Linked DNA regions of Sus scrofa. The protein of the gene in region 1 interacts with the protein of each later gene in a pairwise test. Links are inferred from orthologs where the notes say so. Each region holds a gene or a part of one and is shown in the gene's direction. Other genes may lie near its edges.

Evidence for each region.
Region 2: the proteins of SDCBP2 (region 1) and SREK1IP1 interact in binary tests that used the Homo sapiens proteins (3 or more experiments, as listed by UniProt). The two-hybrid records come from large-scale screens. The link is inferred for Sus scrofa from reciprocal best matches to the Homo sapiens genes SDCBP2 and SREK1IP1.
Region 3: the proteins of SDCBP2 (region 1) and FAM133A interact in binary tests that used the Homo sapiens proteins (3 or more experiments, as listed by UniProt). The two-hybrid records come from large-scale screens. The link is inferred for Sus scrofa from reciprocal best matches to the Homo sapiens genes SDCBP2 and FAM133A.

Annotation. Positions count from the first base shown.
Region 1 is NC_010459.5:33,965,639-33,969,398, forward strand, and holds the start of SDCBP2 (syntenin-2), read left to right. Parts: upstream 1-1,436; 5' UTR 1,437-2,576; intron 2,577-3,760.
Region 2 is NC_010458.4:43,318,723-43,320,610, reverse strand, and holds part of SREK1IP1 (protein SREK1IP1), read left to right. Parts: exon of another isoform or gene 1-1,378; intron 1,379-1,530; coding exon 1,531-1,674; intron 1,675-1,888. UniProt on the Homo sapiens protein: Possible splicing regulator involved in the control of cellular survival.
Region 3 is NC_010461.5:76,148,831-76,152,309, forward strand, and holds the start of FAM133A (protein FAM133A), read left to right. Parts: upstream 1-1,018; intron 1,019-1,102; exon of another isoform or gene 1,103-1,126; intron 1,127-1,132; exon of another isoform or gene 1,133-1,223; intron 1,224-1,243; exon of another isoform or gene 1,244-1,374; intron 1,375-1,408; exon of another isoform or gene 1,409-1,601; intron 1,602-2,008; 5' UTR 2,009-2,078; intron 2,079-3,479. Other genes in the region: NAP1L3 (nucleosome assembly protein 1-like 3), read right to left, coding at 1-663.

The DNA of each region.
Region 1 (3,760 bases):
TTGTGAAAACAGCCACTGTAGATCTACTAACAAGGCCCTACCCTCAAGGAACTTAGGGTCTAACTGGGAGCCTAAGGACATGGGAACAATACAAGATGATTCCTATCAAAGAGCCACAGGACGGTCTTATCTGGCCACGTGGGTAGGGTGGGGGATCAGGAGGCTTCCTGGAAGAGGCGCTCAGTGGATCTGGCTAGGCCGAGTGGGGGCAGGGGGAGGGCATCCCAGAAGCAGCAGCACAGGCAAAGGTATGGTGTGAGGTGGGAGTGGAGCGGATGTGGCTTGGCTGGGGTAGACGTGTTGGGGGAACAAAATCGAAATGGTCATAAGGGGGCTGGACCATGGAGTGCTCACTGTCAGGCCCCCGAACTTAGTCCTGACCCTGACCCTCCCTCCCTGACCCTTCAGCAGGATGTCACTGAAGACTCTGAGCAAGGGCGTGCCAAGAAAAAGGACTTCTGGGTGGCTGGCTGGGGAGAAGTCAGAGGTGGAGGCAGCTGTAGCACCAGGGAATGGAATGAGCCCCTGCATTTCGGTGGGGGTGAGAGGACGTGGGTTCTAGTCCCAAGTCTATGCGGACGTGCTGGGTGACCACAAGCAAGTTCCTCACCCTTCTGGTTCCTCCATCTTCTCCAAAAGCCCCTTGAGACCTCGACTGGGTGAACTGAGGTGTGTGGAGGGTGGGGTGTCACTTGGTTCAGTCTCTATTTTCTACTTTGCCCTTGAGAACCCCACCTAAGGAGGGTCCACACCCATGGTTCCCCGGCGCTTCGGGCCCAGATGGCTCAGCCTCGGGTGTGTCCTTGCCTCAGCTTTAGGTGCCTTTTTCTCACAGACGGAAAACAGGACCTTGGAGCCATGTGCAGCTGTGTGACTTCAGAGAAGGGACCTTGCCTCTTGCCTACTTGCGGGATGGCGGGAGCCACCAAGCCTGTGACTGTACAGCACCGCGCTCTGCAGGCAGGGAGGGCTCCTTGGCTGGTAACTGCCTTTCCTGCTCTTGTTCCCCCTCCGACTCCCTCCCATGTGTGGCTCTCGGCTGGAAGCCTCTGAGTCCGGCAGGGCCTCCTCTCTGGGGCTGAACATGCGCCCAAGGCCGGTGCGTCTCTGCCCAGGCTCGTCACGGGGACTGTGACATGGGCCACCCGGCCTGCTGAGCAGCCCCAACACTCACCCCGCCCTGGGCGGCTGCCCTGCGTCATTCCTCAGGGGACTGCCCAGCACCAGGGCCAGTCCCTCCCCAGGCACCTCTGTACAACCCAACCCACAGGGACTGCAACTACATTCCTCCCCCTTTTCTGTTTGATTGATTTTGGGGGATAGTTAAATACATTAAATTTTTTCAAAATTTAAAAGGCACCCCAAAGTATGTTATGAAAAAAAGCCCCTCCCACCACAGCATTCAGCCCCTTACTTCTTCCCGGAGACAACCCATCTAAATTCCTCCTAAAAACAATTAATCTTTTTTTTTTCTTTTTTCTTTTTGTCTTTTTGCCTTTTTCTCGGGCCGCACCTGAGGCATAGGGAGGTTCCCAGGCTAGGGATCGAATCAGAGCTGTAGCTGCCCGCCTACACCACAGCCACAGCAACTCGGGATCCAAGCTGCGTTTGCGACCCACACCACAGCTCATGGCAACGCTGGATCCTTAACCCACTGAGCAAGGCCAGGGATCGAACCTGAAACCTCATGGTTCCTAGTCGGATTTGTTAACCACTGAGCCACGACGGGAACTCCTAAAAACAATTAACCTTAATTTGGCGGCCCCTCCTTACAAAAATCATGAACGTTCAAAGTAAAGATTAACAAAACCAAACCCCACCACCCTGAAACAGACACAAAAGTACAAACTAACAACCCCCACCCCACCCCACCATCTGGATTTCCAGCCTTTTCAGTTTTGTCCTCCCAGACAGTTTGCAGTATCTATTCACTTTTGGAAAAATGAAAACAAAAGACAAGCTGATTATCACAATATTGACTTTTCCATATCTTGCCGGAACACTTCCTCCTGGTTCCTTCCTTATCAACAACGCTGATAGCTTTATGACCTTCCACAGAGGCTGCCTTATTTAACCAGACCCTGGCAATGGACATTTGGGGATTTCTAGATTTCCCTGTTATAAGAAACACAGTGATGGGCCCCCGAGACCTCACTGGCTACTTGTTTTATTTTCTTGTGACAAATTCCTAGAAAAGGAAATGGTAGGTCACAAGGTACGGCCACTTTTCAAGACCCATCAATCTGTCCTGATGTTCAGCAGGACTACGTGTCTGAGCCAAGTTCGGTTACCTCGAGCCAGGAAGTCTTGGTTCACACCCCTCTCAAGAGGAGCTGTGTGAGCTTCCATCCCCACCTCCACATCCAGACTAAGGCCACAGCCCTCCTCTGGACCTGGTGACCTAAGGCAGGTTGCCCCAGCCACCACGCCGCACCTGGGCCCATCCCAGTCCTGGATGAGTCAGCTGACCGGGGAGCAGGAACCCAGCTGGAACAAGGGCCACCGCCTTCCAGGGAGAGGAACAGACTCCGTTGGCAGTGGTTGGAGGAGGACAAGCAGCAGCACCTGGGCTGCAGGTAAGAGCCGGGTGCGGGGCCCCTAGAGCTCCGGAAGGGATCGGCGTGACCTGCTCTCTCCTGGCTTCTTCCCTCCTGGTCCCAACCCTTTGGGGACTTTCAGGCCTTTTCCTCTCAGGGTGCTTCTCTCTGGCAGTGAAACATGAACTGGGGTTTCCTCTTCTGACCCCAGCCCCGGGCCAGGTGTGACGGTTGGGTGATCTTCACCCAGACATGGCTAGGACTCTCCAGGCTCCTTCAGTCTGCCCGGGACTGCGCTCGCGGCTGGGACCCACACTTTGCTCCTTGAAATGGGCCCTTGGCAGGGCAAAGAGCACTTTCCACAAGGAGCCGAGTGCAGGCCTCAGTTTCTGTTACTTCTCTGCCTGAAGCTGTTTCCATCCACAAGCTCCCTGCCACGGCCAGGAAAACCTGCTGGGGAACTGGGCCGGCGGCCTGACCCGAGAGCTGGTTTCCTCTGTGGAGACTCCCACGCAGTCGGGGGAACTGAATGAGGTAATGGATATAAGGGCCCCGTACGTGCCCTCCACACAGTGAGCCTCAGAAAATGGTGCTTAAGATGGGGCTGCTGTGTGCCGGGCAGGCCCTGCGCTGGCCCAGACTCCCACCAGCTCTCCCCGCATCACTTCTCAGCTGGGCTCCCTGCCCACTGGGCCCCTCTAATCCATCCTCCAAATGAAAGTTAGACGTCACTCTGCTGCTCAACATTCTCCAGTGCCTCCCATTTCGCTGGAGTAAATGCCAAGCCCTCAGCATGACCCACAGGCCCTGCTGGATCTAGCCCCTCTCACCACCCCTGCAGTCGCCTGTCCTATGCTTCCCCTCTCAACAACCGACTTTGGTCTCCCTGCTCAGATATTTCCTGAACACAACAGGCACTCCCACCTCAGGGCCACTGCCGTGGCTGTGCCCTCAGCCTCAACGCTTCTCCCTCCCCATTGAAACTTTCACTCAAAAGGCATCTTCCACCCCCATCTCCCCCACCCAGCAGGGAGGCTCTTCGGGACCTCCGGGCTCTGTCTACCTCCCCCACCCGCCCCCGCCCTGCTTCATCTTTCTCCCCATCACGTCCTACCACCTAACACTGCACAGGCACTTACTTATTCAGCTAGGACGTGACACTCAAGGGCAGATTTTTCTTTTGTTCCCTGCCTAATTACTGGTACCCAGAACAGTACTGGGAC
Region 2 (1,888 bases), on another chromosome or scaffold:
GTGCTGGTTTGTCCAGATGGCAGGACAGTAGAAGCTGAGGCTGCCCACGAGACTGTAACACGTCACTACCATATGTACCAGAAAGGACAGGAGATGTCCACCAATGCCATTGCTTCCAGTTTTGCCTGGACCAGAGGGCTAGCCCACAGAGCTAATTCTGATAACAATAAAGAGCTCAGCATCTTTGCAAAGGCTTTGAAAGAAGTCTGTATTGAGACTGTTGAGGCTGGCTTCATGACCAAGGACTTGGCTGCTTGTGTTAAAGGTTTACCCAACGTGCAACATTCTGACTACTTGGATACATTTGAGTTCATGGACAAACTCAGAGAAAACTTGAAAATAAAACTAGCACAGGCCAAACTCTGAGGTCATTCCTCGGCTTAGGAGGATAAGTGTGTTTTTTTGGTAACTAGGCCACTTGGTTTACATTTTTCTTTAAAACACTCAAGGGTAAAGGCAAAATGAATTTTGTAATTTGTTAGAAGCCAGAGTTTATCTTTCCTATAAGTTTACAGCCTTTTTCTTACCCATACGCATATGCCACCTTTGTGAATGTGACAGGGGACTTTTTCAAATTTTATTTTCTACCGGTAGCCTAGGAATTGCTTTTAGTGTCCATGTGTACTCAGCTCACTGTCACTTTTTCCTCATCTCCTGATATAAATGACCAAAATGAAGAGCGCTTGAGAAGGGTAAGCTGTAGCCATGGTATTACTGTATAAAATTGTGTAAAGTAGAAATTCATTCCCTTCCCCACTTTCCATGGCCTGTGGCACTGGGTGGTTTTGACATCACAGATGTTTCATTACGTGAGGTAGAGCTGTCCGTTAAACTTGCATAAGATTTGGAATGCAGGGCCTGGCTGTAACTAAAACATGTGAAGACACAGTCCTTTTTGTAAAGAGCTCTAGCTTAACGTTTCAAAAATACCAAATATTTTTGAGCAAACTGGAGAATCCAGAATAAATACTACCCTGGGGTTTGTCCCCTGTTTAGCTCCTCTTCCCAGCGTCCTGTGGACAAAGTATTATGCTAGCCTGAACAGCGTATTTCATCCAAGTGCAATAATACAAGCTGCACCTTTTTCCCACTTCTGCTGGCCTCTTTTATTTCCTTTATATATATATATGTGATTTTTCAGAAGTTGATTGTAAACACTATTCTAGTCCTGTTCTTTATCTAGATGATCAATTTTAATTAAAATTAAGCACTAAAATAAATAAATAAAAATTTAAAAATAATAAAATAAAATCCTGAATTGAGAGTATTTTCTTTAGTGTATTGAAAGGGAAAATACCATAATTCAATATACTGAAATCCATAAGAAGTAGCTCTCCTCCAAAAAAATGCTTATTGAATTAACCTATTATAAAGAAAAGAAAAAAAGAAAAAAGCCACTTACTGAATAAAAGTTAAAACTAAACATTTATTATTAAAATTGTAACTTGTTGCTTACTATGATGTGACACAACAGAAAATATGTACCAGTAATTTTGTCATTCACCTTTTTTGTTTGTTTGTTTTATATAGCTGGTCACCTGACTTTTGAATGCCGCAATTTTCTCCGAGTAGACCCAAAAAGGGACATAGTTTTGGATGTTAGCAGCACAAGCAGTGAAGAGAGTGATGAAGAGAATGAAGAACTGAATAAATTGCAGGCATTACAAGAAAAAAGTAAGCAATACTTTTCCCCCTCTATCCTTTAAAAATGTTTCTAAATGGTTTTCTGTATCATATCATGCCTGTCGTTCTACTGGATTTTCATTAAGATAACTTTTGCATCTTAAATAAGAAGTACTGCATAGGTATGAGAATAGGCTTTGAACATTGTAAATAATTTGCCCAAAGTCAAACAGTTGGTCAGTGGTGAAACCAATAGGTAAGTCTC
Region 3 (3,479 bases), on another chromosome or scaffold:
AGGCTTGGCCTCCAGAGCATCTTTAGACTCTGCTCTTTCTTCAGCCTTTGCCTCGGGATTTTCTTTAGGGGCTGCATTTTCTTCAGCCTTGACCTCAGGTTTTGGTTTTGGGTCCTCTTCTTCCTCACCCTCTAAGGCAGGCATTTCACTAGGGCCCTCTTCCTGCACTTCCTCATCACTGCTAAACACCTCATCCTCCGAATTCCATTCACATTCTTCCTCCGTGGGCTCATATTCTGCATTGATGATTTGGAATCGCCGATCATACAGAGGCCTATTGAGTTCGGCATATTTTCTTTCGAGCTCGTGAATTGCCTTTAAGAACAGGGCGTCTACCTTGTCACATTCATCTTGAATATTTCTGAGCGCCTGCACACGATTTCTAACTGCCCGAGGCAGCTGATCCACGAAACTTCTACCCGACGGAGCCCGCCGCGCCCTTCTGGAAGGCCCAGGTACCCTCTTCTTTCTATAGAAACGGCTGCGGCTATTGCTGCTGCTGCTGCTACTGCTGCTGCTGCAACTAGTGCTGCTGCTAGAGCTGCTGCTGCTGCTGCTGCTGTCAGATTCTTCCCCAGAATCGCTAGACGAGCTAGCCACCATCTCTTCATCCACCCCCTGGGCCGCAGCTCCCGAGACCCTGTTAGGATCCGCTTCTGCCATTCTGCAAGCCTGCAAACCGCTTAGCGTGGTGACTACCGCGCGCACAGAGATGGGCCGAAAATGACTCACGGATGCTTGGGTGGCAGCGGTGGAGGTCGGGGCAGCGGCGAAGGCAGCAGGAGTGCAGGGCGGGGTGGGGCTGGGCTGAAGCCGCGGAGGCGGCAGCGACACTGGAGGCCTGAGCAAGAGCGGCAGAGGTAAGGGCTCTCCCGGCTGCAGCTGCTGCGGACCGAGGCGTGCCTCAGCCGAATGGCGCAGTGCGAGACCCCGAGATCTCTTCACTACTAAGATATTGAACCCCCCCCTCCCCTAGCCGTCAGACCTCCCGTTAATTTCGTTCCCAGTGTGCCCTTTAGCTCTCACCTCATTTGCTAGGCATGCTTGATCGACAAACCCTCAGGCCAATGAGTAGCCAAAAGCACCGCCCCCTCCAGACTCCGCCCACCTTCCCAGACGCTCCTAGGTAGCTAAGGCTCATACCCCAGGAAGACGTTTTTCCCCCTCAAAATTTTATCCTTATAGTTTTATAATTCAAAAAAAAAAAAAAGCTTAGCTATGAGGTAAAAATACTAGTCATGGTTTCTAACAAGGGAAGAGGAGTATCCTTCTCCCATCTGCCCTTCATTAATTCCCGTTTGGTTTGTCAGGGGCCTCGTGACAAAAATCTGTTTTTTAAAAATTGGATGAAAATACTCCAAATGACATCTTTGGGTAGTGTGCTTGTGGATGATTTTTTAATTCTCTTTCTTCTATCTAGATGTTCTATGAGCATGTATTTTTACACTGGGGGGAAAAGAGGGAGTCGTTTATTGGCAAAGCGGGGAGGGGCTAGAAAGCAGGCATATTGCCTTCCACGTAACAGTTTTAATAAGTGCTGTCTGTGGTGTTTGGCAAGCCTGGTTTATATCCATCTACAAGGTTTGCGAACCCATGTTGCCGTGAGTCAGTTACACCATTTTTTACTATATTTCTCCTTTTAATTTGGCGTGTAATAAACCCCAACCTTGCTGCTGATTTGCCACGTAGTCCTTCTCAATGCTTGTAACAACCTTGTAGATAAAATAAGAGGGCATTCAAATGTTAGGTAGTATTTTTTAAAAGCAGACGCTTTGTTCTATACTTTCATGCAGCACTTTTCCATTCCAGGAATAGCAGGATGGGAGGGGGAGTCTGTGCTGATGAAACTGCATCCTCTGTCAGGGTATACTTTACAATGTCATCTGCCACCAGTTTCCTTCTAAAATTGTAAAATGCTAGCCATACTAAAGTATGATTTACAAATCCAGTAATATGTGAATAAACTTGCAAAATGAAGTTTAAAAACAGCTGTTATTTTTATTTGCAGGATTCTTTTCTGCCACAGAACAACTCCCTTGGTACAACCAAAAAGACCCGTGTTTACTTTTCATTAAAAGGTAAGGAACATATTTAGCCCATTTTTATGAATGACAAGAATTACCTATATATATTTGAATAAAAATTCACGACAGAGTCTTTTAAAGACTTAATTGGAAGATAGTTCTATGTAAGCAGAAAAATCCACAGAGGTGATTTAGAATATTAATGAGGAAAATAACCTAATTAATGACATTCACTTTCTAAACCTGCTCATAGAAAGCAAGTAGCAAATTAAAACATAACATCTGATGAATTATTCATTTCAAATGAGGAAAAATATTAAAGTAAGATTAATCTTTATGTTGCTTCTTTATTATAGGATTTGTGCTTAGTCATTTAGTCATGTATTTATAAATTAAGAAACACTTTTATTTTCTATTTTGTAAATGAATTTAGTTTTATTGTTTATTCCTGATTGTCAAAGTATGTAAGCATTGTAAGGGAAAATACAATATAGAAAATTAAAATAATAATAGAAATACACAATTTTAATCAAATGATAACTATTGTTAGCATTTTGATGCATTTCCTTCTGGAATTTTCTTTGTACATGTACATGCCTGCCTATTTATATATACTGTTTCATCTTGTGAACTTATGTTTTGTAACCTGTGCATTTATCAGTTAATTGTGGCTATACTTTCATAGAAACCGATCAATATTTTATTTTAAAATAGATGCATATTTCATGGAAATATTTGCCTTAATTTACTTAACCAGATTCCTCTTGTAGGGCAGTTACTCCCTGCACCATCTTTCCACTAACGTACATTTTCCTGTTGTTAAAAAAGTTAACCCTGGATACCTGCTATATGAACTTGTAAAAACTAGTCATCTGATGAATTCCTAGAAATGGAAGTGCTAGAATGAGTTGTATTCTCATTTTACTCTTTGACACATATTGCCAAGCTTCTCTCCAGAAAAAATGATCACAATTTAAAATCCCAACAATAATGCATGAGTTTATTTAGCCATTCAACTAATATATTTTTGTGCCTGCCACGTGCCAGGCACGTGTGGTAGAGGATAATGATATAATGCTGAATAAAACTTAATGGGTGCATATCCTCTCATTCTATAATTTTCATTAAAATATATACTATGGAAGGTATGATTTAAATCAATGAAATTATGCTATAAATATTGTTCTACAAATTATTATTTTTTTAAATGATGGACATATTTTGTTAATGCTTTATATTTTTATAGTACTTTAATGATTTCATATATATGTTAAATTTTATACTATCAAGAATCAGCATTTTGGGGAGTTCCCTGGTGGCCTAGCAGTTAAGGATTCAGCCTTGTCACCACTGCTGTGGCTTGGGTTCAGTCCCAGGCTGGGGAACTTCCACATGCTGTGGGTATGGCCAGAAAAAAAAATAGCATTTGGGAATAAGCAATGAGTTAGGGGTCTG